Linked DNA regions of Drosophila melanogaster. The protein of the gene in region 1 interacts with the protein of each later gene in a pairwise test. Each region holds a gene or a part of one and is shown in the gene's direction. Other genes may lie near its edges. The genes, in order: CG8907, GABA-B-R2, Tat and MagR.

Region 1 (5,814 bases):
GTCTAAGGGAACATCGAATTACAGGTAGAATTACATGACATAGACATGAATTTACAGATCAATTGTGTCTGGTTGACACTTTTGATAACTCTCAATTCAGAAGCGGATCGTTAAAGTCACGCAATATTACTATACTCAAAGTTGTTGCAGAAAGTGTTGCGGACAGTGCGGTACGTGTATTTCCATTTTCAACAATTCCCATTTTCAACTGTAATGAGGGTCGCTTTTTTCTGTTATTACGTGAAGTAGTAGTCATTAAAAGGCAAGAATGTCACAATTTGCTCCAATAAAAGTTATTGGCCAATAAACGAATAAAATAGTTACCCCAGACCCTAAGCATGATTGTTTTAAAGCTCTTTATTTATGATGAAGGACTTTCTTAAGTTAGGAATGATTCATAGGCAACATACAAAATACATGATATGATAATACGAGTAGAATAAGATATAAAGTAAGTTGTATGTAGATTTAATTGATCGAAATTATGCGCGCACGTCATGACATAAGTAATTTTCATTTCCGTTTTTTGAAAAATAGTCATCAAGACGTTTTTAATGATTTCTGTAAAGATTAAAACAACCATAGAGATGCATTTTTGCGATATAAAACTTATACTTAAGTTTTATTCAAGAACACTTTCACTTTTTCGCCAATCAATAATAAGCTATTTAAGTAATGTGTTAATGGAACTTAAAGAAATTCCTAGTAATTACTATCTTTAATTGAAAGTAAGATTTGTTGTTGGTAACAGGGTCAACTGCTGACCATTTCATACGATCCCACAGTGGGCCGATATCAAAATCAAGGCCCAAGGGTAGCAGACTCTCTCATAAGGAATGGTATTCGTATTTGTATTTGTTGCTCTGCTTCCAGATAAGATTGAAAAAGTGCCTATGAGCACCAAGAGATAAGGCACACTTTTGCTTTTGCGATAACGCACCATCGCAATTTCAGGCAATCAATTAATGAGCCAGCTGATATCGCCGATTCCCATTCCCTTTGGGCCAGCCAACGTCAGTTAGTTGGAGTTGGAATTCGATTCACAGCGGGTCGAGAGTTGTAGATCGGGTCGAGAAAAAAGAGCAAATAAATAAATAAAGAGCACAGTGGGCAGCACACAAGGTAACCAATCCATCGGTTCTTCTAAGCCCGTAAATCAACATACCAACGATATGTCTCAGACATCTGTATCTTAGGATCTGATGTCATGCCAGTGAAAGCAATAAATAAATCTCGAAACACGGCGGTAAATAATTGACCCACAATCACGGCCTAAAAATACGCGATTAACTCTTATATTCGAGTCCTTATGTAATAAGCTGCCATTAACGATTGCTTCATGAGCGAAGAATTTCCTGGCTTGTGATAACTGCAAAACAGAAATAAAGTAACGCCAGCAAACTGAAAAAGCAAAGCAATCGCAAACACAGTGCCAATTGCGTTTATCTAATCGGACAGGTAGCTACCACACAGGTGAAATAGGTACTCTCCTATGTACATATGTACACCTATGTACTTCTAAATGCAAAGGTATCTAATGGTAGCCATCTATCTGATTCGCATTGCCCATTGGGAATCAATAGTTTACCAGAACGCTTTGATTACACACCGCCGCAATGGTCAAAGCAGGCAATAGGACCCTGAAATACTTCCGACCCATTTCGGTCAAGTATGGGTAAATATCAAATATCAAGCGTGATAGACAGGAGGCTATCTCATAGATTGAAGCATTGCCAACACCTGTCTATCATATACCCGTATACTTAAAGTGCCACTTTGGAAATTTTCGGTGTTTTACTGTTTATGTTAGCATAACATTCAAACAAAGAGATCTTTTCGTCCTTGATCTGCATTTATAGTGTAAAAGATGCAGAACAAGATAGAAAATTCTTTACTATTGAACTATTAAAGTTTAACCTATTTTCCTTGTATTAAAAAGTGTAAGAGCAACTATTACTCATCGTCAATTACCTCTATGTCATGCATTAGTTGCAATGTAGTGTTATCAACAAAACAAAAAGAAGGGCAAAGAATTGCGCAGTTCATATTCTACAATATGTGCGCCTGAATGCCAAACTTTACATGGAAACAACCAATAAGTGATAAAAAAAAAAAAAACTATAGTTATTTGGAATGCCCATTTCCCTATTTCTCAGGATGCCACAAAACGGCTACGAAAATGGAGTCCCTGGCGGGAATCAGGCAAATGGGCACTACGACGAGGTCAAGCCCACCTATGCCCTGGAGCACTTGGCCACCTTTAAGCTGAAGAACGAGGCTGAGGTCAAGCAGCCGAAGGAGAAGATGAAGCTTCTGGTCGAATTGGAAAAGACCGGGGGCATTTGGCCGCACAAGATGTTCATGAGCTTCAATGGGCAGTGGCTGGTGATGCTGGACAGTGATATGAAGGAGATTGAGAACTTTCCGGGGAGCCTGATCACGGAGCCCACGGCTTTTATAAGCGATCATCCGCAGGAGTCATTCAACAATATCCTCATTTTCTCAGTGCCCGGAATCTCACTGGGCAATACCGAAATGCACATCTTCCAGGTGAGCAGCCACGATTTTTCAGCACTTTGAGATCTGTAATAATTAGATCATTAATAGGTGGCCGATGTCAGTTCCGTGCTCTTGGTTGAGGATCTAAAGACGGTGAGTTGAGTTGAATAAATAGATCCCCGATCTATATAATCCCAATACCACGATTTCTCAGCTAAGCAAGGGAACCCCTGTGACAGTGGATCGCAACAAGACGCCCATCCTGCTGCCCAAGCCGGAGAGGCCGCAGAACCAGCAGGCCAAGGATCAGTATGGAATAGCAGCTGCTGTGGCCGGAATAGCAGCCGAGAAGAATGCCATAGACAAGGAGCAGACCGAGAGGGATGTCCAGGTGATAAACCACTGCTTCGAGGACATCGAGCGGTTCATGGCCCGTCTTCATTATGCCGCCGAGGCGCTTAACGAGCTAAAGTTGCGCAAGGAACAGCATAATCCCCACGGTGAGGGACTTTTGGTCCTGAGATCGCGACCACCAATCGAGAGCGAGTTCCATGACATTTTGGCCAAGGCGAAACTGGCCCTTATATACTCCGTTCGGCTGCAGAACCAATTCACCAAGCCCGCCGATCCGGTGCACAATGTCTTCATATCGCTTAAATCCATCGTCACGGTTTGCAACGATATCTACGTGGATGCGGGTCTGCCGCAGGCGGTACTTAATCCCCTCCTGCGCCGTGAGACCATTGCCTTCCTCAATGGCACCCTCGACTCCAACGAGATGCAGCTGTGGCAGAGCCTCGGTCCCAACTGGACGGTTCCCAAGGATCAGTTCAAGGATCACAAGAGCTCTTATCATCCGATCTTCTACGACGATTGGTCTCCCGATTGGGTGGTCGATGAGGAGGTGCCGTACCTGGCTCCTGCTCTAAAAAAGAGCACAACGCCTTCGCCAGTGCCGGTTCCCATGCCCCCGAGTCCAGGTCTAGGAAATCGCACCTGGCTGAGTAGATTGGAGAGCCGAAATGTCAAGATCGCCGAGGTTACCTTCAATAAGTCGGCCACCAACGATAAGGAACTAAAGGTTACAAAGGGAGAGTATTTGGAGGTAAGTACCTAATAATAATCGAAAGGGGTTTTAATGTCAGTTCTTATCATTCAGATCTTTTAGCCAAATTTATCCCAATTTCAAGTTCCTTTAATTAAGATTTGCACAACATTTAAAACGACTTGCTTTTTTAATCGTTCGCTGACGTATGAATGTATGTAAGAGGCAATTATTTTGGGTTACAATACAGTTTTGTAAATATATAGGAATGTCCACGTGTGAGAACTGAATGATTTGAAATCTTATAAGGCACAGGTCTTTTACTTTTATATTAATCTTTTGTTTTGGAATGTTACTGATATAAAAAAGCTTTAGATAAGTATTGGTTGTGAAGATATGAAAATTCATTGCCGGTAATATATATGATTCAATAATTTTAAATTCAGGCATTTGAGATGTCTTACCAATGAGAGGTCAGTAACACTATATCAATACAAAAACTTTGAATGCAATTACTAAACATTGATTATATTTTTAACTTTATACCATGTTTACTATACATGGTACCAATCTTATCGATTCCCCAATTACGCGATCTTACCTTCATATCACCATGATAACAGACCTTATAATAACTATCATATAAATCGTCTGATTCCAAGATTATCGATGACTCCCGCAACTGGTGGAAGGCCCGTAACTCGTACGGAAACATTGGCTACGTGCCGCACACAGTGCTCACGCCGTACAACTTTGAGCCCGGAGTAAATGGCCGGGACACGGAGTCGCTGGCCTCAATGGCTTTGACGGAGAACGGCGGCGAGGAGGCCATTCCTCCTCCGCTGTACCGCAACACAATGGCCATGTATACCGCTCCCGTGGAGCAGCCGGCGGCCAATGGCAAGGCCATGCAGCGCACCTTCTCGATGCCCAACGTGCCCGTTCCACCACCGATGCCTCCACCGAGCGATAGCCAAACGCCCACGCCCAGTGGCACACTCAAACGCAACATGGCGGCGGCAGGAGCACTAGCAGGTGGGTACACTAGTAAATTAAAAAAAATAATACAATATAATAATGATATTTGTATTTATCTCATTCGCTTACCAGCCATGCGGGCCCGCAATGATTGCGAGGCAGATGATCAGCTCTACTACATGCAGGGCGACGTGCATGATGAACTGCGTCTACTGCAGCAGCAGCGAGAGAGGCGCAAGGACCTCGAGATCCTTAAGACGCCGGAAATCTTCATCACCCAGAATTCAAAGCCAAGCGAGGTGGAGGAGTGGCTGCGGGGCAAGGGATTCTCGGACATCATTATCAAACGATTGCACACGCTATCCGGCGAGGAGATCTTCGCCCTATCACCGCACACCATCGAAAGTTACTTTGGCCGGCGGGAGAGTCGCCGCCTCATTTCCCAGATCGTGCTGCAAAAGAATTTCTGCGAGGTGAGTTCTTGGACATATCCTCACCTTATCTAATCTAATCGAATCCATTCCAATATCCAATTTTGCAGTACAAAACCATTCGATCATCGGAGCTTTCTGCCAAACTGGCACGTGCTCGCCAAAAGGCCGATCAGTCCAATGGCAATCCCAACGAGGTCTTCTAAGACTCCCAGTATCCCGAGTTTTTTAGCCGGAGACCAGAGAGACAAAAATGCTTCAGATGCCATTAATTTATTTATGTGTAATAATCCTTCATTTATGTTAAACAGTGTTCATACGTATATTAAAAAAAAAAAAAGACAAAAATGGGTTTGATTTATATGCATTTAGTGTTAACATCTCGAATTGATTATAAATGTAATATAGATACTTTATTTAAACACAAATATTTATGAAGTGAAGAAATCATATGATTTCCTGTTTAGAAACTTAACTTCCCTAAACTCAAAAGTGGTATGGCATGATTAATTAGGCAAGAATATGTTTATCATTACAGGAAACTTTGAGAACTGGTTATGGAACAGTCCTAATGAAACGCTTATTGGTTAACCCAGATACCTTATATGTCGAACTCCAGTTCGAATTGCAGACTTCAATCAAAAGACTTACGAAATAGCCGAAATGAATTGGTTTTTTCAATAAACACGATGTTCAATGTTATGAAGAAGTAATAGACGTCGATTAAGAGTAATAAGTGATAATCTTCATAAATTCTGCTTCGTGAGTGCATCCTAAAAGTCAAGTAAGTGGGCGTTTCAAACCGGTAGGGGCGTGGCGTGTTATTTACCTTTTTTGTGAACACATTGCGGGGGAAATAAG
Region 2 (7,571 bases), 4.8 Mb from region 1:
GCCAGACGGTGTTCTTTACCTGCCTTAAGTGCAAGTAGGTGTCCTGATAAACATATTCCTTCACTTCCACAACTAATCACACACATTCTACCTTGCAGATTCAAAGAATCCGAAAACTCTTAGTTGCTAGCAATGTCCGTGTAAATAGTCCTAGATTAATGAAAATAATCATGCTCGACGGCCTGAGAAATATAGAATTTACCAATTATAATACCTAACCGGTGTCAAACTTGAAGCAGAACCCACCTCGCTGGCCTTGAGTCGGTTTTTGGGATTGTAGACCACCAGATTCGAGACCAGATTGATTTCCACCGCATGTGTGCAGCTGGGAAACAAGTTGTCCCAGTGAATGCCCACGGAGTTGGGAAACCTACGTCAAGAATATTACGGATTAAGTAATCATAGACGGTAAGAATGCCTACCGTATCTTGCTGTAATCCGGCAGAGAAGTCAGCTCTGGCCACTGATTCAGACGTGGGCTGCCCAGAGTGCGAATGATGATGGCTAATTGCTCGATGTCGGTGGTTCCCGCAAACAGGGGCACTCCGCGTAGCATCTCCGCCACAACACAACCTGGATAGCAATAATGTCAGCCATAAGGATATATGTAAACCCATCAAAGAGTCATGGCTAACCTGCCGCCCACATATCCACTCCGGTTCCATACTTCTGGCTGCCAAATAGAATCTCTGGCGCTCGATACCACCGGGTTGAGACCTGAGGCGAATAAAGGCGCGACTCGTCTTCAGGGAAGTACAGACGGGCCAGTCCGAAATCGGCAATCTTAAGCATATCTGTATCGCTGATAAGCAGATTGGCGGGTTTAATATCCCGGTGCATGAGACCCGCTTCATGCAGATATGCAATCCCCTTGAACATTTGGTGTGCAAACTTACGCACCTGCTGGCGGCTCAGGGGATTAACCTCGCTCTTGAGGCGGTTGTACAGAGTGTCCGGCTGGTATTCCAGCACCAAGGAGAGACCAGTTAGGTCAGGATATATATCAATGATGTCCAGAATCTACAATTAGTTACATAATTAACAAATGGAAAATAGATATATGGTATACCTACATATTCAGACTTGCAAAGCTGCAGGGTCTTGATTTCCCTCAAAGTATTTAGGGCTATGTTTCCGAACTTGTTCTTAAGGGCCACCTTCTTGATGGCCACCTCCTTGTTGCGCTGCAGATCGATGGCCTTAAACACGCAGCCATGGACGCCTTCGCCGATTTTCTCAAGCATTTTATAGCGGCTGGGCGCATAGTCCTCCATTATGGTTACTCACAATTTTCAATTTGGTAATTTTCCGAGCAGTTATCTACTTCGTTTTTCGACCCCAGTAGTCCATGGCAACGGGCACAACAATTGCCGGAGTACCAGCTGATGGGACCACCTGTTGCAGGATGTTTACAAGCGCAGTGGGTTTATGGTAATTACGGGGGTTGGAAAGCCTAGGCCAAGGCGGAGCAGTGACAGCTTTCGGTTTAAGGACATGCGCACTTCCTGCCTCGAATTCCTCCTGTCAGACAAATGTCAAGTCAGGGGGATACATAATTTTTCGGACCCTCGCACTGCAAAAGTTCTTCGTTGGCTGAGATTTGATGTAAAATAAGTGTTTCAAATGGCATCGGTAGTGAAATAAAAGCCAGTTCTGGGACTAAGCAAGCTGGTAGGTTCCTAAAAACATGTACACATAAGATTTAAGAGGATGCAACACCTGGAAGATACTCCTTCGCGTTAACGAGCATACTAAATAATGCACGAATCCTTTAGATCATTAAATTGCTTTATAATTACTAAACGTGCCAGCATTGCTGCAGCAATTTGAAGCAATTTTGCTGGCCTGGACTGGCCTTAGCCTTGCTCCACCTGTCCTGTAAAATTGCATGCGAGTGCCAGCAAACACAGGTAGAACGTAGAAAATAATACACACCCACTGGGCGCAGCCTTGCCTCGGCAGCCTTGGCTCACCCGAAACCAACCACTGCCATTCACCACCCACAACTTGGCTCCAAGTTCACGTCCTCGATATGCGCTATTCACATTTAGAATCGTTTTACAGCCCACGCGGTCAACATGTTCCGGCCAAGTTGGTTTCCATTCGCCAGCCTGCTGTTCCTGCTCCTTTGGAGCACCGCCTGTGGCAGGACAGCCAAGAGATCGGACGTCTACATAGCGGGATTCTTCCCGTACGGGGATGGCGTGGAAAACTCCTACACCGGTCGGGGCGTTATGCCCAGTGTAAAGCTCGCCTTGGGTCACGTTAATGAGCATGGAAAGATACTGGCCAACTACAGGCTGCACATGTGGTGGAACGACACTCAGGTGAGTTAGGGTTTAGCTTGAAGATTTCATTAAGTGAATCTCTGATGATGGACTTGTGGTTTTTAAAGTTCAATTAGGTATTTTTTTTAATGTTCATTGGTTCATATTGTAATATCACACCTTTACCTATGCATATTTCCATATATTCTGGAATGTAATTTTGGTTTCCTTTCCAGTGCAATGCTGCTGTGGGCGTAAAGTCCTTCTTCGATATGATGCATTCGGGTCCCAATAAAGTGATGCTCTTCGGCGCTGCGTGCACCCATGTGACCGATCCCATAGCCAAGGCCAGCAAGCACTGGCACCTCACCCAGCTCAGCTACGCGGACACCCATCCCATGTTCACCAAGGATGCGTTTCCGAATTTCTTTCGCGTGGTACCCTCGGAGAATGCCTTTAATGCGCCGCGACTGGCCTTGCTGAAGGAGTTCAATTGGACCAGAGTGGGCACTGTCTACCAGAATGAGCCACGCTATTCGCTGCCCCACAATCACATGGTGGCTGACCTGGATGCCATGGAGGTCGAGGTGGTGGAAACGCAGAGCTTCGTCAACGATGTGGCTGAATCATTGAAGAAACTGCGCGAGAAGGACGTGAGGATCATTCTGGGCAACTTTAACGAGCACTTTGCACGCAAGGCATTCTGTGAGGCTTATAAGTGAGTTGGATATACTAACTTAAGTCTCAATTTAAAATTATTGCAATAAACTCCCTTCCAGATTGGATATGTATGGCAGAGCCTATCAATGGCTGATCATGGCTACCTATTCCACGGATTGGTGGAATGTCACGCAGGACAGCGAGTGCAGTGTGGAGGAGATCGCTACAGCCTTGGAAGGTGCCATTCTAGTGGATCTTTTGCCCTTGTCCACCAGTGGTGACATCACAGTGGCTGGCATTGTTAGTACCAGTAAAGTCTATTAAAATTCTTGTAATAAATTTCATATTTTACTAGACTGCTGATGAGTATCTTGTGGAGTACGACAGACTGCGAGGCACTGAATATTCCCGCTTTCATGGCTATACCTACGATGGTATCTGGGCAGCTGCCCTGGCCATTCAGTATGTGGCCGAAAAGCGAGAGGATCTGCTAACACATTTTGATTATCGCGTGAAGGACTGGGAGAGTGTCTTCCTTGAGGCTCTACGTAATACATCCTTCGAGGGTGTGACGGTAGATAGATAAACAATCCAGTTTTTGCAGTTAAAACATATTTTACATTCTCAAGGGACCCGTGCGTTTCTACAACAACGAGCGCAAGGCCAACATCCTGATCAATCAGTTTCAGCTGGGACAAATGGAAAAGATCGGGGAATACCACTCACAGAAGTCACACTTGGATTTAAGCTTGGGAAAACCAGTCAAATGGGTGGGGAAAACTCCTCCCAAGGATCGCACTTTGATCTACATCGAGCACAGTCAGGTCAATCCAACCATATATATTGTATCGGCTAGTGCTTCGGTCATTGGAGTGATTATTGCCACAGTTTTTCTGGCCTTTAACATTAAGTATCGCAATCAAAGGTGAGCTTAACAATGCTATATTAAACAATTTCGTTTAATAAAATATTGATGTTTTTATAGATACATCAAGATGTCCAGTCCCCATTTGAACAATCTGATCATTGTGGGCTGTATGATGACCTATTTGAGCATCATTTTCCTGGGTCTCGATACCACATTAAGTAGTGTGGCAGCTTTTCCCTATATCTGCACAGCTCGAGCCTGGATCTTGATGGCTGGATTCAGTCTCAGTTTTGGAGCCATGTTCTCGAAGACGTGGCGGGTGCATTCGATATTCACCGATCTGAAGCTCAATAAGAAGGTGATCAAGGACTATCAATTGTTTATGGTTGTGGGCGTGCTTTTGGCCATTGATATAGCCATTATAACCACCTGGCAGATTGCCGATCCCTTTTACCGCGAAACTAAACAGTTGGAACCCTTGGTGAGTGCATTGATAGAACATATTTGAAGTGAAAAATCTAAAATGATTATTATTAACTACAGCATCACGAGAATATTGATGATGTCTTGGTGATCCCCGAAAACGAGTACTGCCAGTCTGAGCACATGACCATATTCGTTAGCATTATTTATGCCTACAAGGGACTGTTGTTGGTGAGTATATAATAAACATTAATTTGTAAGATATCATTATAATAAAGCAATAATTTTTTTCAATAGGTTTTTGGCGCCTTTTTGGCCTGGGAAACTCGACATGTTTCTATACCGGCTCTGAACGATTCCAAGCATATTGGTTTCTCCGTTTATAACGTGTTCATCACTTGTCTGGCCGGAGCGGCTATATCCCTGGTGCTATCGGATCGAAAGGATTTAGTTTTTGTCTTACTCTCGTTTTTTATCATTTTTTGTACGACAGCCACTTTGTGTTTGGTGTTCGTACCGAAAGTAAGACTGGTAGTAAGGAAGTTTTGTAGTTTTTGTAGCTGTTATATGTTACATATAATAATCGTGTAATATGAATGTTGTTTGTCGGCGGTAATAGGCCGATCAGTTGTGGTTAGAGCTTCTTAACTGATCGTACTTTACCGCCAGCTGAGCTGATCTTTCGTCTAGCGTTGATACACCTTGATACAGAAACAACATGTACTCGAAAACAGATCTTAAAATGCTATATAACACTACAGACTAACTATAAACTTGAACTATATAGAACCCACTAAGAGCAGCAGCAAGGTTGTAGGCAAATCCCACTTCCTTGCTGTTGGAATATCTTTAACTATCCTATATTACTGTCCGTAGAGTTGATCCTTCCTAGATGTTGACCGCGTAGTATAATCTTTGGTTAATATTCATGCGAATCGTTTTGCAGTTGGTGGAGCTGAAGCGGAATCCCCAGGGCGTGGTGGACAAACGCGTTAGGGCCACGTTGAGACCCATGTCCAAAAACGGACGCCGGGATTCCTCGGTGTGCGAACTGGAGCAACGATTGCGAGATGTAAAGAACACAAACTGCCGATTCCGAAAGGCGCTGATGGAGAAGGAGAACGAGCTGCAGGCCTTAATCCGCAAGCTGGGACCCGAGGCACGCAAATGGATCGATGGGGTGACCTGCACAGGTGGCTCCAACGTCGGTAGCGAACTGGAGCCCATACTGAACGATGACATTGTTAGGCTCTCAGCTCCACCGGTGCGTCGAGAGATGCCCAGCACCACAGGTGAGTGGCTAAGGAGGGGGATTTCGTAGATATGTTCATGCATTGCAACCCGTTTGTCATAGAAGTTACCGAGATGACGTCCGTGGATAGTGTGACCTCGACTCATGTGGAGATGGATAACTCCTTTGTGTCGGTGCAGTCTACAGTGATGGCGCCATCGCTTCCTCCGTAAGTTCTTAAATTTTGGTCTTAAATACACTCTAATCTATGGATATTCTCCAACAGCAAAAAGAAAAAGCAATCGATTGTAGAGCACCACTCGCATGCCCCTGCTCCAACTATGATGCAGCCCATCCAGCAGCAACTGCAGCAGCACTTACAGCAACATCAGCAGATGCAGCAGCAGCACCTGCAGCAGCAGCAACACCAGCAGATGCAACAGCAACAGCAGCAGCAGCAGCATCATCATCGCCATCTGGAGAAGAGAAACTCGGTGTCCGCTCAGACCGATGATAATATAGGCAGCATCACCAGTACGGCGGGCAAGCGGAGCGGAGGAGACTGCTCCAGCATGCGGGAGAGGCGTCAATCGACCGCCTCCAGGCACTACGACAGTGGCAGCCAGACGCCCACCGCCCGGCCAAAGTACAGCAGCTCGCACCGGAACTCCTCCACCAACATCTCCACATCGCAATCGGAGTTGAGCAACATGTGTCCACACTCAAAGCCCAGTACTCCGGCTGTGATTAAGAGTAAGTTTTCTGCGCGTCTCTTATAATACTATAATACTATCGATTTTCTAATCGAAAATAGCTCCCACTGCCTCCGACCATCGCCGCACCAGCATGGGCTCCGCTCTGAAGTCCAATTTCGTGGTTTCACAGAGTGACCTCTGGGACACGCACACGCTGTCGCACGCCAAGCAGCGCCAGTCGCCGCGGAACTACGCCAGTCCGCAGCGCTGTGCGGAACATCATGGCGGCCACGGGATGACCTATGACCCGAACACCACCTCGCCCATCCAGCGGTCCGTCTCCGAGAAGAACCGCAACAAACATCGGCCAAAACCGCAAAAGGGCACCGTTTGCCAGAGCGAGACGGACAGCGAACGGGAACGAGATCCGCCGCCCAACAGTCAGCCGTGCGTCCAGCCGCGTAAGGTCAGCCGGAGCTCTAACATCCAGCACGCCGCCCACCACCACAGTTCGCCCAATGTGGCGCCCGATAAGCAGCGGAGCAGGCAGCGCGGCAAGCAGGATAGCAGCATCTACGGCGCCAGCAGCGAGACGGAACTGCTCGAGGGCGAGACGGCAATTTTGCCCATCTTCCGGAAACTCCTCACCGAGAAGAGTCCCAACTATCGGGGCCGCAGTGCCGTGGGCCAGAGCTGTCCGAATATATCCATCAAATGCGATATCGTCGAGTACTTGTAGGCGGCGCGAGTCATATGCATTATGCCGTAGTTAAACTCCTATTGTTAGATCCAGTTGCAGTGTAAAGATTATCTTTGTTTTCTTTGGAGTTACGCATCTACATACATACCCTGTGAAGCAGGACACACACCATTTAGTGAACTAGTAGCAATGACATGAGATAGTTGGGAAATAAATTACAATTTAAAATAATCATATATCTGCTGATGTTTCCCTTTCACTGGCATGAGCTTTCAGAGGCACATTTTTCACTGTGTACAAGCAGAAACGGCAACTCTAATTTATTTTAATGAGCAAATGGGCATGGGTATGAGTGCTAAACTGATGGGGGAATCTATTGCAGAGCAATGCGCCGGAAGTGATTGTTGAGTGGACCCTCGTCCGAATAGCCGGCAATTTCCTGTGGTATGATGCCAGACTCCTCAATGGAAGTGCATGGCCGACACATGCACTCCAATGGCGCCTTGGTCAGGACCTTCTTGAATTTACGCTCGCCGGGCTTCACTTTGGGACAGAATAGCGAGACGGCTGCCTCCCGCTCACCAGACTCCTGGCAGCACATGCAGGAACGCTCCATTTGCCAGATCTTACTGCCCGAAACCTAAAGTCATCAGATTATATCAAATTATAATTTATATTTCAAGTATATCAACACCCACCTGGATATAACTGGCACAGCGACCCACGC
Region 3 (6,199 bases), on another chromosome or scaffold:
ACGCAGTTTGGAATTTTGCAACCTATTCCTGTCCGGGGATCAGAGTCAAAATGACCGGAATCTCCGCTCCGTGATTCTGAGAAATTGCGTTGTCATCGTCAACAGGTGTGCTTGGCCAGTTTATCTAGCCGATCTAGTTGATCGGGTTCAGATACAGATATATCCTATAGTCGCTTATGCATATGCAATTATTCAAATCGATGGGATTACATCTATGGACTTGGTATCGCAGTGCATTCCACGTTTGTCCAGATGTGCATTTAGCGGACACTTTCGAATTAATTGTTAAATGCGCCGTGAGTTTTTTTTTTATTTTCCCACTATTTTTTTTTTTTTAAATTTATTGTTCTACGATCTTGAACAGATTTTTTGTCCGAGTTACTTTAGTTTTGAACTCTGTACTTTCACCTTTCAAAAGATTTAATCGTTAAGTCTGAGTTGTTATTAAATTTAACAAGGATTTTTAAAATCCTCACAAAGTAAATCAACTTAAATAGACTACAAAAAGAGCACAAACTCATATTTAAATTATATCAACTTGGCATGTAAATATTTCTATAAACGTAGCAATTATCTTGTGCGGAAAAATAGATTTGTTTGCCATCAACCAGATTTGCAATTTGTTTACAAGTAACTTATATTTTTAAATTTAAATATCATTTAGCTGAGTAACGGGTATGTGATAGTCGTTCTCTTTTGTTTTAAAGTAGAAATATTGCAGAAACAAATGAAAATAACTTATTTATTTATTATCACAAAATGCATGAAATTATTGAATCTATAATATGTGTGCAGGATTGTTGTGGTAACTTTCTGGTATTCTATTGATAATTTTTGTGGGAAGTTGATACAATAATAGGTAGCAAATAGCAACATTTTTCCGAAAGCAATACTCGAGTTTAGCCAGTTTATTAGTGATTCGGATCGATGACCGCTGAGATCGGAGAACAGGAAAATCTTACAGATACATTGTGTCTCTAGCCAACTATATTATGGGTTGATTGGCACGTGGTTTAGTGGGTGGAAAGGTGGTGGTCGGTTGGATCGGTGGATCGACCGACCACACGATATGCATTAATGGTAATGGTTTTGGTTGGTTGGTTGATTGGATGCTCGGTTGGTGTTTCAAATTGGCCCAAGATTATATATTATATTATAGACAACTTTGGCGCATTTAAATGAATATCGATGCGATGCGGCGGCGGCGGCGCCTGTTGTTGTTTATATCAAATCAAATCAAAACGAATCGTATCGAACTAAAATCTGGTTCCGAGTATGAATATGATTTCGAACCGGCGGGTATTCAAATCAGTCGACGCCCCCTATGTTGTTGTTATTTCAGTCTTTCGATCGGCCCTCTCGGCTCGAACCGAAGCCAAAGTCAGGCGCGTGATAACCGGCGATGTTAGTGTATGGGCTATATATACCCAGATATGCGTATATATGTATATGGATGTCTATATGGAGAGCCTATATAGCAATCGACTAAACGAAGTCGGCCGGAGGCGATAAAAGCCCCAAGATATCGCCGAAGTAGATCAGTTTAGCACAGAATTCGCAAACGACTTGAAAGTACTAGCCCATATCAACCATATACCGTGTATCCAAAGGGAATCCAACGAAAACAAGAATCGTCTGTCCAACACAGTGATTGACCAAAGATCACAGCTCTAATGCTCGTCTGGAACGATAAACAGGATACAAATTTTTCATTCATTTGAGCAGAGTGCTCCATTTGCCAGAAATCGGGACCGGAGACATCGTCGTAATCAAAAATATTAGCAATATTTGTTTGTGCTTTTTTTTTGTTTTTGTTTATTTTGATTCGATTTGGTTTGGTTTGGTTTGGCTATTCGATTTTCTTTCGTTGAATCGGGAAAAGGGCCGGCCTGGTGATAATGCCCAGCAGTTTTGCCAACGAGAGTCAGTTCCGATACCAGAGCAGCCGCAATCGTGCCAGCTGCACAAGCCGGAGTCCCAGCGAGCCGGAATCCCCGGCGCCGGTGACGCCCAATTGCGATGTAGTCGATCAGGCGCTGGCCGAGCTGCAGCTCCAATCGCAGGACATACGCAAGCAACAGGACCTGGTGGACACCACAGCCACGAGCAGCAGCAGCCGAAAGCGTTCCGGATGGGAGATAAAGGGCTCCAAGCTATCCCTTAACACGCACAATCGCATTCGGAACATTGTCGAGTCGCTAAAGATCAAACCGAATCCGGAGAAGCCCATGATACCGCTGTCCATTGGTGAGCACCATAAATATATAAATTAACTAATATATATCTAAAGAGTAAAAGTTCTAAAAACTGTACGTATATAATCAGTTTTCTTTTAAAATATGGTACTTAGTATATTTCTTGTATAGATTCATTTTAGATATTTAAAGTTGACATCTTAAACTTTCAAGTTCTTAAAACTTATAGGGCTTTTTATATAAACCTTATAAATTATTATTAGTTTGTCTGCAAATTACTGATTCTTGAATTTCCTTTGACGCAGAACTTACATATGTGTTTGAAAAATCTATCTTAAAAGCTTTTCCTCTTCAGAATTCTCAGAAGTATGCTATGCATTTAGCATGTATGTATAATGTATATTTACATTATCAGGATTTCGCCTTCTATTTACTATATATGCATTAATCTGAAAAGTACGCCTTTAATAGTGGCTAAAAGCAATGATTTGAAATATCCAAAATTTGCAAATTATAGAAAAATATTTGAGCAGGTAGTGCTAACTATCCAGTTTCGTGGGAAACCTGCTCCTCATTTCACCATATCCCCATAACACCTCTGACGTTTTTGCTACAAGTTTTTGGGCCAAATTTGAATATTTCTGATGTGCGATCTCTTTTGCTCTTGCCGTTTTATAAATATATATATATATATATTTATATCTTAGTTTTTTTTTTATTTTTGGCAGCTGAGTTGTCCCAAACTTGATAAAACTAGCTTTATGAACCCAATGAATTCGGTTTCATTGTGAACTAAAGCGATCCATTGGTCATACACACCCACAAAATCGGGCCAATCAGAGATCGGTGCTTCGGCTATAATGCTTATAAGTCGTTATATAAGTTGGGACATTGGACTTCCCTGAAATGTTAGAGCTCAATGGGAATTCGGGCTTACTGGCTTTCTGGCTTAGGAAATTTACAGAGAAGCTAATTTTGCCGATTGTCGCGAGTTTCTAAATTTGTGCTAAAATATGCCAGATACCAGATATATAAAATCTGTAAAGCTGTTGTTGTTTCGATTGTTGTTGTTCTTGTTCTTGTATATAATTTAATTGTTTTTTTTTTGTTTTGTTTTTAGTAATATCGTATTATTTTTGTAGCGAGGCACGCGCACTGTATTTGTGTTTTGTGGGGCATTTGCATAAAATGTAGTTCCACCTGTTTGACAAAGTCGAGAATCCATTCGAATCGAATCGAATCGAATGGAATGGAATCGAACTCGGGATCTGAGCCAGATTATACTGCTGCTGCTTGCTTAGCCATCGGAATCGGGAATCGAAGTTAGCCGGAAACGAACGAGTTAGCCATTGACCCAATGCAATCAGAGATTCGGATGCGAAGTCGCCTGATTTTTATTTTTTTAACACCATTTTGCATTCCGTTTCCAAAAATAAATGCACTTTATTCCATAAATTAGGCAATTCACTGATGGAATATTTTCTGTATTATTTTATTAGCTTAAAGGTTATTTTATATTATAGATTATATATTTTAAATGCATTTTGAAACTTGCTTTTCTCAACCAGGTGATCCCACAACCTTTGGCAATCTAAAAGCCGCCGATGAGACAATGAAGGCGGTGCTGCATTCCCTGGAGAGCGGCAAGTACAATGGGTATGCCAGCACCCAGGGTCACGAGATAGCCCGCAAAGCGGTGGCCAAATACAGTGCCCACCAGCGTCCCGACGGAGAGATCGATGCCAACGAGGTGGTGCTGTGCAGCGGCTGCTCCTCCGCCTTGGAGTACTGCATCCTGGCGCTGGCGGATCGTGGTCAGAATGTTCTGGTGCCGCGACCGGGTTTCTGTTTGTACTATACGCTGGCCCAGGGCTTGGATATCGAGGTGCGCTACTACGATCTTCTGCCCGATCAGCAGTGGCGCGCCGATCTCGTTCAGCTAGAGAGCCTGATCGATGAGAACACCGCCGCCCTTTTGATCAACAATCCGAGCAATCCCTGTGGCAGCGTCTTCGATGAGAAGCATCTGCGCGAGTTGATAGCCATCTGCGAACGCCACTATCTGCCCATCATTGCCGATGAGGTGAGTGACCCTTAAATCGAGCACACATGAAATAATTGAATTGAATTGCCTTTGCTTTCGTTGCAGATCTATGAGCACTTTGTGTTCCCCGGCTCCAAGCACTTGGCCGTGAGCAGCCTGACCACGGAGGTTCCAGTTCTCTCCTGTGGCGGGTTGACCAAACGCTTCCTGGTTCCCGGTTGGCGAATGGGTTGGATCATAGTGCACGATCGCAAGAATCGTTTGCGCGATGCCATTGTCGGTCTAAAGAACATGTGTGGTCGCATTCTGGGCTCCAATACCATCATTCAGGGTGCCCTGCCCGATATCCTGACCAAGACACCGCAGTCTTATTTTGACGGCGTGATTGATGTGCTCCACGTAAGTTTATCATTTGTAATTATCAGCTTAATGGATAATTATTATATGATTATTTTTATCCCACAGTCGAATGCCATGCTGGCCTACAAGATGCTGAAACAGGTGCGTGGCCTCGATCCCGTAATGCCCAATGGAGCCATGTACATGATGATAGGCGTGAGCATCGAACGCTTCCCGGAATTCAAGGACGACACCCACTTTGTCCAGGAGATGGTGAATGAGCAGAGTGTCTTCTGTCTGCCGGGCAGCTGCTTTGAGTACCCGGGATACGTGCGGATCGTACTTACTGTGCCCGGGGCAATGATCGAGGAGGCGTGCTCCAGGATTGCCGAGTTCTGCGATCGCCACTACAAAAAGGAGTCGCGCAATTTCATTGAGCACGGACTGCTCGACTGCGATGATGTGGCCTTTTGAGCTGGGAGCAAAACATTTATTAGATATTCTAGACTACAATTTTTATCAAGTGTACATAAGTGTATGTATGTATATATACTATATATATATATATATCAATCATTTTAACTATCCAATATAAGGAGTATTGTCTCAAAAAATTGCTGGAAAAGTAAAGCGCGTCACACACAGATAGATAGAGTTTAGAAAGAGCGAGTAAACTGCGGCTAAGTAAATGGTCATTATGGAGGACTTCTGAATATAAATATATATAATATAAATTTATATATATATATATAGGCCTATATTTGAGCTATCTGGCGCTGTAGGCTGGCTGGGGTTCTGTGCAAAAAATGTTAAACTTGGTGAAAGTAGTGCTCCTTTGGAACAGGATATGATATGATGATGCCTTCTTGCTAGTTACAATTATTTCTATTAGTTTCAAATAAATTTTCTGGCAGCCTTTATCTAACGTGTGATTTCAATTTAAAAATGCTGAACATTTTCGCATAAATTGGATTTAGATGTGTGTAATGAATGATATTTGTATGTATATTCGTTGTAAGAAATTTTAAAATGTTGCTTAATGGGCTGTGAAACGTAATTAGAATGCTGTTGAGTGTTGTGAAGTGTAATTGAATGGTCCCCACATTTCAGCATTCAACAGCACTGTTAATGCCAAAAAAAAAAAAATATATATTAAATTCTAGCTAAGGGGTCTTACAAATTTCTGAAACTCTGGGACAAATCCTGTTGATTGTGGAGTGTGTGTGTGTTTTTGAACGAGGACCTGAGCACGAGAACCCAATCCCACCTACAGGCTAACCGGGAGAGGGGCATCCTTTTGCCTCTACATGTGGTGCGGATGCATTTTCTTCTCCATTTCGGTCTCCACGCGGGCCTCATCGATTCCGGCAACAGTGGGCAGACCACCTGGCCAGTGGAGCAGCTCCTGCTCGTGTTCCATAATCATGTTCGCCTCCGCTACAATTGATGTAATCATCGGATAGGTTTGTATAAGATATCATCCTTCTAATGGCACTTAATCAAACAATCCTATCCCAGACCCACCTTGAATGCGATGCATCTTGCTGCCGTACGCCCAGTCCGTATAGTAACCCACGACGAAGGTGAGCGGCAGGAGCGGAGCCAGCGCGGATACCCTCCT
Region 4 (3,966 bases), on another chromosome or scaffold:
CGTTGTGGAATCCCTGCTAAAGGCTCACCTGTACCTGTTCGAGTGCTATGATCGCTTCGGGCAATCGCTGGCCGAACGCTGCGATTGCCGTGGCTTCTTCGCTAGCTGCTCTGCATTGGTGGATCGACGGAAGTGTATTCGTGAGCTGTGTACCACCATCGTGAACACACGAAAGGGAGAAACTCATGCACCACTGCTTCATCTTTCGCATCGAACGTTGGCCGAGATTCAGCCTGCGTGGAGTGAGATCGGTGATTTGGACTGGTCGGCAATACGCCAATCGGATGCGCTTTCTTCCAGCGATTTTATCAATCCCGATCTTCAGCAGATGCGACGGCTAGTCAAGCGGATTGGCCGCTTATCCAGCCTTGAGGACATGCAGACCGCAATAAAGCGCTCCATGGAGCTGATTGAGTACCAGGTGTGGCTGCAGCTTTTTAGGGAGCCAAAGGACAGCGAAATTCACAAGGATTGCTACCTAATGCGCCACATGATCTGTGACACTTTATCGGAGGGCGGATCTACCGCTTGCACCGGCTTCCTGCACAATATCTTTCTGTTCGTATCGCAATCCGCCAATGAGATGAGATTCTGGGCCAGTATGGAGCATGTACGTCTGGCCGGCAGCCTTATTGCCTACCTAATCGACCATTGGAATCGCCACCTGCCCTACCTAGACTTGGATGAGATGCAATTGACCGCTGATGCACCAGTCACGGCTGTCTCGCAGCTGCCCGTGAACGAGGCCACATACATAACCTACCTGATGCTGGCCACCGGATCCATATGTCGCCGGCAGTTCGCCCAGCAGCTGCGTGCCCAACTACCCCCCAATTCCTGGACACATTTGCTGGAGCTGCTAAATAAAGTGGCATTCGTTTTCACTTAACTACACTACGAGTTTAATCATGTTTCGGCAAAAACTCGCAGTTGCCATCGGTCAGGCGAACCACCTTCTCGCCCTTCTCGGCCAGGATCTCCTCGATGTTGCGCTTGCCGTCCAGATCTGTGAACCAGTTCAGATTGTCGGCGATCAGGTGGTGATTGGAGCAGCCCTCGCAGGTCACGATAACAACGCCGCGTTGGTATGCCAGCTTCGAAATGGTCTTCATGTTCCGGGTCTGGCACACCTTGCAGGTGTAGATCAGCTGCATCTTGGCCTCCAGTTTCGCCAGAGGAATGCTATTCGTGGCCACCGTCTTGTCCGCATCGTCCTGGGAGCAGAGCAAAATAATTATACTTAACTTTTTTGTTATACATAATTTTAAATATTGCATTCCATTTATAATATTTTAAATTACAAATGTAAATAACATTATTTAATATCAATTGGGTAGTTTATTTGTATTTACAACTGATTTCCAAACATACCACTGGCTTACTGCAGTGTATACTGCGGCAAATGCACGTGTAGTTGTTGCTGCTGCTAAAAACAGCTGTTTGTGTTTTGGTTGCAAAGTGATGCACTTGCAACTGCAATTGTGGACTATTTAAAGCATCAATTTGTGTTCTTCGGGAACTGGTAAGTAGTGCGCCTCTTCTCACACCTGCGCTGATTTTATAAAATTTTTTTAGGGCGGACATATCCTCGATTTTGTTGATATTATTTAACTCAATCGAAAAGTGTGAAATTCATTTAAACTTAGAGATGGCACCTCCTTTCATTTCAAAACTAGTCGCGAGTCACGATTTTAAAAAGTTACTATAGCTGTCACTGGTGCTGATAAAATTTGCTGTAACTCACAGACATTAAAACCAATTGTTAATATAAATTCTACTGTGAAATATTAAGTTAAGTTATTAATGAAGTCCACCTGGACTCTGGGGCTTAAAAATAACTTATTTTTCAAACAGGTAGTAACCGTTTCTCCGCTATCCCGTGACACTGCCAATCGATGACATCTGTTAATGCCATCTCACGTGATACTATCGACAGTACTATCGACCATCTGGTAGTAAGCACTCATATTTTCGAATTTTTTTTGTGGAAATTCTCGAGTCAAACAAATTATATAAAGGGCACGAACCGATGGCGACACGTGTGGTGGCAACGGCGACAGTGCGGGCGGTGAAAGGCCGGAAGTTAATCCCGACGCGGGCCGCTCTGACTCTGGTAAGGAAACCAAAACCTGGTGAAATCGGCGCATGCTGCTGCTGATGAAGTAACAGTCCCCTTCGATCTGATGATTCTGATCTCCCCCAATCCTTTTCAGACACCCGCGGCGGTGCTACGCATCAAGACGCTTCTGCAGGACAAGCCGGACATGGTGAGTGACTGCTGACAAGTTGTCATCGAACCAAGGCTACACTTTAGTGGGCATTCTATCGCCTTCCACGATTGAGATCTTGATAATCTCGCCTAGCTCTTTAAAGGTTCCCGTGCATGTTATTTAAGTTTTAGCACTGGTTGCATGGAGTATAGGAAGTTCGCAAGAGGGCTTCTTCAAGCATTATATTTGACAATAGGCTTTTTCCTCAGTCAGTCATATATTTTAGCGCAAATTATTAGCTATAAATATAAGCCATGCTAACTAATTCGGCCTGCGTTAATCAGCTAGATTTTCCAAATTTTGACCCGACCAAATTTTGATGAGCATGTTTATCTTGTTGTTAATCATTTAGTTTTTAAGTGATTAAATTCTTTGAATTGAGACAGACTTATTAGAATACCGAGTTCTTTGTCTTTGGTCAATAAACAAGGCTGCCTATAAATTAGCCACACAGTTAATGACAGAAATTCGATGTTGTTTCTGCCACAGGTTGGCCTAAAGGTGGGCGTACGGCAGCGAGGATGCAATGGTCTGTCCTACACGCTGGACTATGCCAGCCAAAAAGGTAAGCCACTCTGGACAGAATGTTGTTCGGTGGAGATCTAATGCTGCGTTCTGTGTCGATTTTTGCCAGCAGACAAGTTGGATGAGGAGGTGGTCCAGGATGGCGTCAAGGTCTTCATCGACAAGAAAGCGCAGTTGTCGCTGCTGGGTAAGTTCATACCAGCTTAGCATAGCATTGGACAAGCCAGCTAATACAGAGTATAATTCGCTTGCAGGTACCGAGATGGACTTTGTGGAATCGAAGCTGTCCAGCGAGTTCGTGTTTAACAATCCGAACATTAAGGGCACATGCGGCTGCGGCGAATCGTTCAGCATGTAAACCGATGGAGATCCGGAGGAGATCCGCCGGCACCCGCCTCGCAGACAGACCTAAATTAACTAAGTTAAATGCAGTACGCGGCCCGACCTTGTATCTCATTACGTTGTTGGCAAAAGCACCGCATCCTTTGTAAATTTTACTTCGCAAACGAATTCTAAATATTAAGTTGTGTTCTATAGTTAAATTTTAGTTGTAGCGCTAGGTAAGTGACGCACCCGCTTCCTTGCCGCAGGCTGGCAGTTTGTCCTCTTTAGCCCTAGTTCAATATATAGACAAGGAATGTTCTAGAAAACCCATGTGCAAATCAAGTTTATTATTGAAAAAATACTTCGACTACGTGCATGTTACCGCTGATTGATACCCTGGAAACCGTACTCCTCGTAGTCGTCTTGCGTGTAAACAAACTCTTCAAAGTTGGGGCTGGTCGCAACCTCCTTGCCGCCGTACCACGCGTACCGCACCGGATCCTCGGGACAGATGAGTGACACTTCAAGATCGTCGGGCACCAGGGCACGTAAATCGCGCTTTAGGCGCGGCAGAAATCCCGGAAACTGGGCACTGCCGCCCACAATAAGGATGTTGAGCAGGAGTTCGCGGTGCGCTTCCCAGGGGCAAGCCTTCAGACAATCGGCCACCGCTTCCGGAATGCCCACCTGTTGCACACCAATGTCCGAGGGATTGAAGAGCAGCTCGGGCACGGTGAAACGTTCATTGCACAGCGACACCATTTGCTGTTGCTCCTCATCCTCGCGCGGCTTTCCGGGAACACGAACATAGCCCCGTTTGACGGTGGTGAAGTCTGGAAGGACATAA

Evidence for each region.
Region 2: the proteins of CG8907 (region 1) and GABA-B-R2 interact in a two-hybrid assay, tested with the Drosophila melanogaster proteins (one large-scale study listed by BioGRID).
Region 3: the proteins of CG8907 (region 1) and Tat interact in a two-hybrid assay, tested with the Drosophila melanogaster proteins (one large-scale study listed by BioGRID).
Region 4: the proteins of CG8907 (region 1) and MagR interact in a two-hybrid assay, tested with the Drosophila melanogaster proteins (one large-scale study listed by BioGRID).

The regions. Positions count from the first base shown.
Region 1 is NT_033777.3:17,007,254-17,013,067, forward strand, and holds CG8907 (uncharacterized protein), read left to right. Parts: upstream 1-1,576; 5' UTR 1,577-1,616; coding exon 1,617-1,675; intron 1,676-2,156; coding exon 2,157-2,550; intron 2,551-2,607; coding exon 2,608-2,652; intron 2,653-2,713; coding exon 2,714-3,604; intron 3,605-4,206; coding exon 4,207-4,579; intron 4,580-4,654; coding exon 4,655-4,995; intron 4,996-5,063; coding exon 5,064-5,159; 3' UTR 5,160-5,280; downstream 5,281-5,814.
Region 2 is NT_033777.3:21,769,841-21,777,411, reverse strand, and holds GABA-B-R2 (metabotropic GABA-B receptor subtype 2), read left to right. Parts: upstream 1-1,571; 5' UTR 1,572-1,671; intron 1,672-2,064; 5' UTR 2,065-2,078; coding exon 2,079-2,327; intron 2,328-2,503; coding exon 2,504-2,985; intron 2,986-3,046; coding exon 3,047-3,227; intron 3,228-3,282; coding exon 3,283-3,501; intron 3,502-3,556; coding exon 3,557-3,852; intron 3,853-3,912; coding exon 3,913-4,276; intron 4,277-4,338; coding exon 4,339-4,449; intron 4,450-4,515; coding exon 4,516-4,752; intron 4,753-5,164; coding exon 5,165-5,510; intron 5,511-5,572; coding exon of another isoform or gene 5,573-5,575; coding exon 5,576-5,678; intron 5,679-5,735; coding exon 5,736-6,202; intron 6,203-6,263; coding exon 6,264-6,883; 3' UTR 6,884-7,079; downstream 7,080-7,571. Other genes in the region: Polr1H (RNA polymerase I subunit H), read left to right, coding at 1-34, 99-123; CG6800 (uncharacterized protein), read right to left, coding at 199-370, 423-573, 636-1,020, 1,074-1,274; Burs (bursicon), read right to left, coding at 7,218-7,484, 7,543-7,571.
Region 3 is NC_004354.4:14,259,687-14,265,885, forward strand, and holds Tat (tyrosine aminotransferase), read left to right. Parts: upstream 1-1,536; 5' UTR 1,537-1,673; coding exon of another isoform or gene 1,674-1,721; 5' UTR 1,722-1,898; coding exon 1,899-2,247; intron 2,248-3,763; coding exon 3,764-4,278; intron 4,279-4,344; coding exon 4,345-4,638; intron 4,639-4,704; coding exon 4,705-5,052; 3' UTR 5,053-5,693; downstream 5,694-6,199. Other genes in the region: CG13404 (uncharacterized protein), read right to left, coding at 5,882-6,015, 6,103-6,199.
Region 4 is NC_004354.4:15,732,340-15,736,305, forward strand, and holds MagR (magnetic receptor), read left to right. Parts: upstream 1-1,930; 5' UTR 1,931-2,029; coding exon 2,030-2,113; intron 2,114-2,213; coding exon 2,214-2,267; intron 2,268-2,759; coding exon 2,760-2,835; intron 2,836-2,904; coding exon 2,905-2,982; intron 2,983-3,049; coding exon 3,050-3,153; 3' UTR 3,154-3,441; downstream 3,442-3,966. Other genes in the region: CG8191 (uncharacterized protein), read left to right, coding at 1-889; CG12379 (uncharacterized protein), read right to left, coding at 903-1,214, 1,372-1,584; Arp6 (Actin-related protein 6), read right to left, coding at 3,498-3,966. UniProt on the Drosophila melanogaster protein: Involved in the assembly of mitochondrial iron-sulfur proteins. Probably involved in the binding of an intermediate of Fe/S cluster assembly. Required for maintenance of circadian rhythms under constant darkness.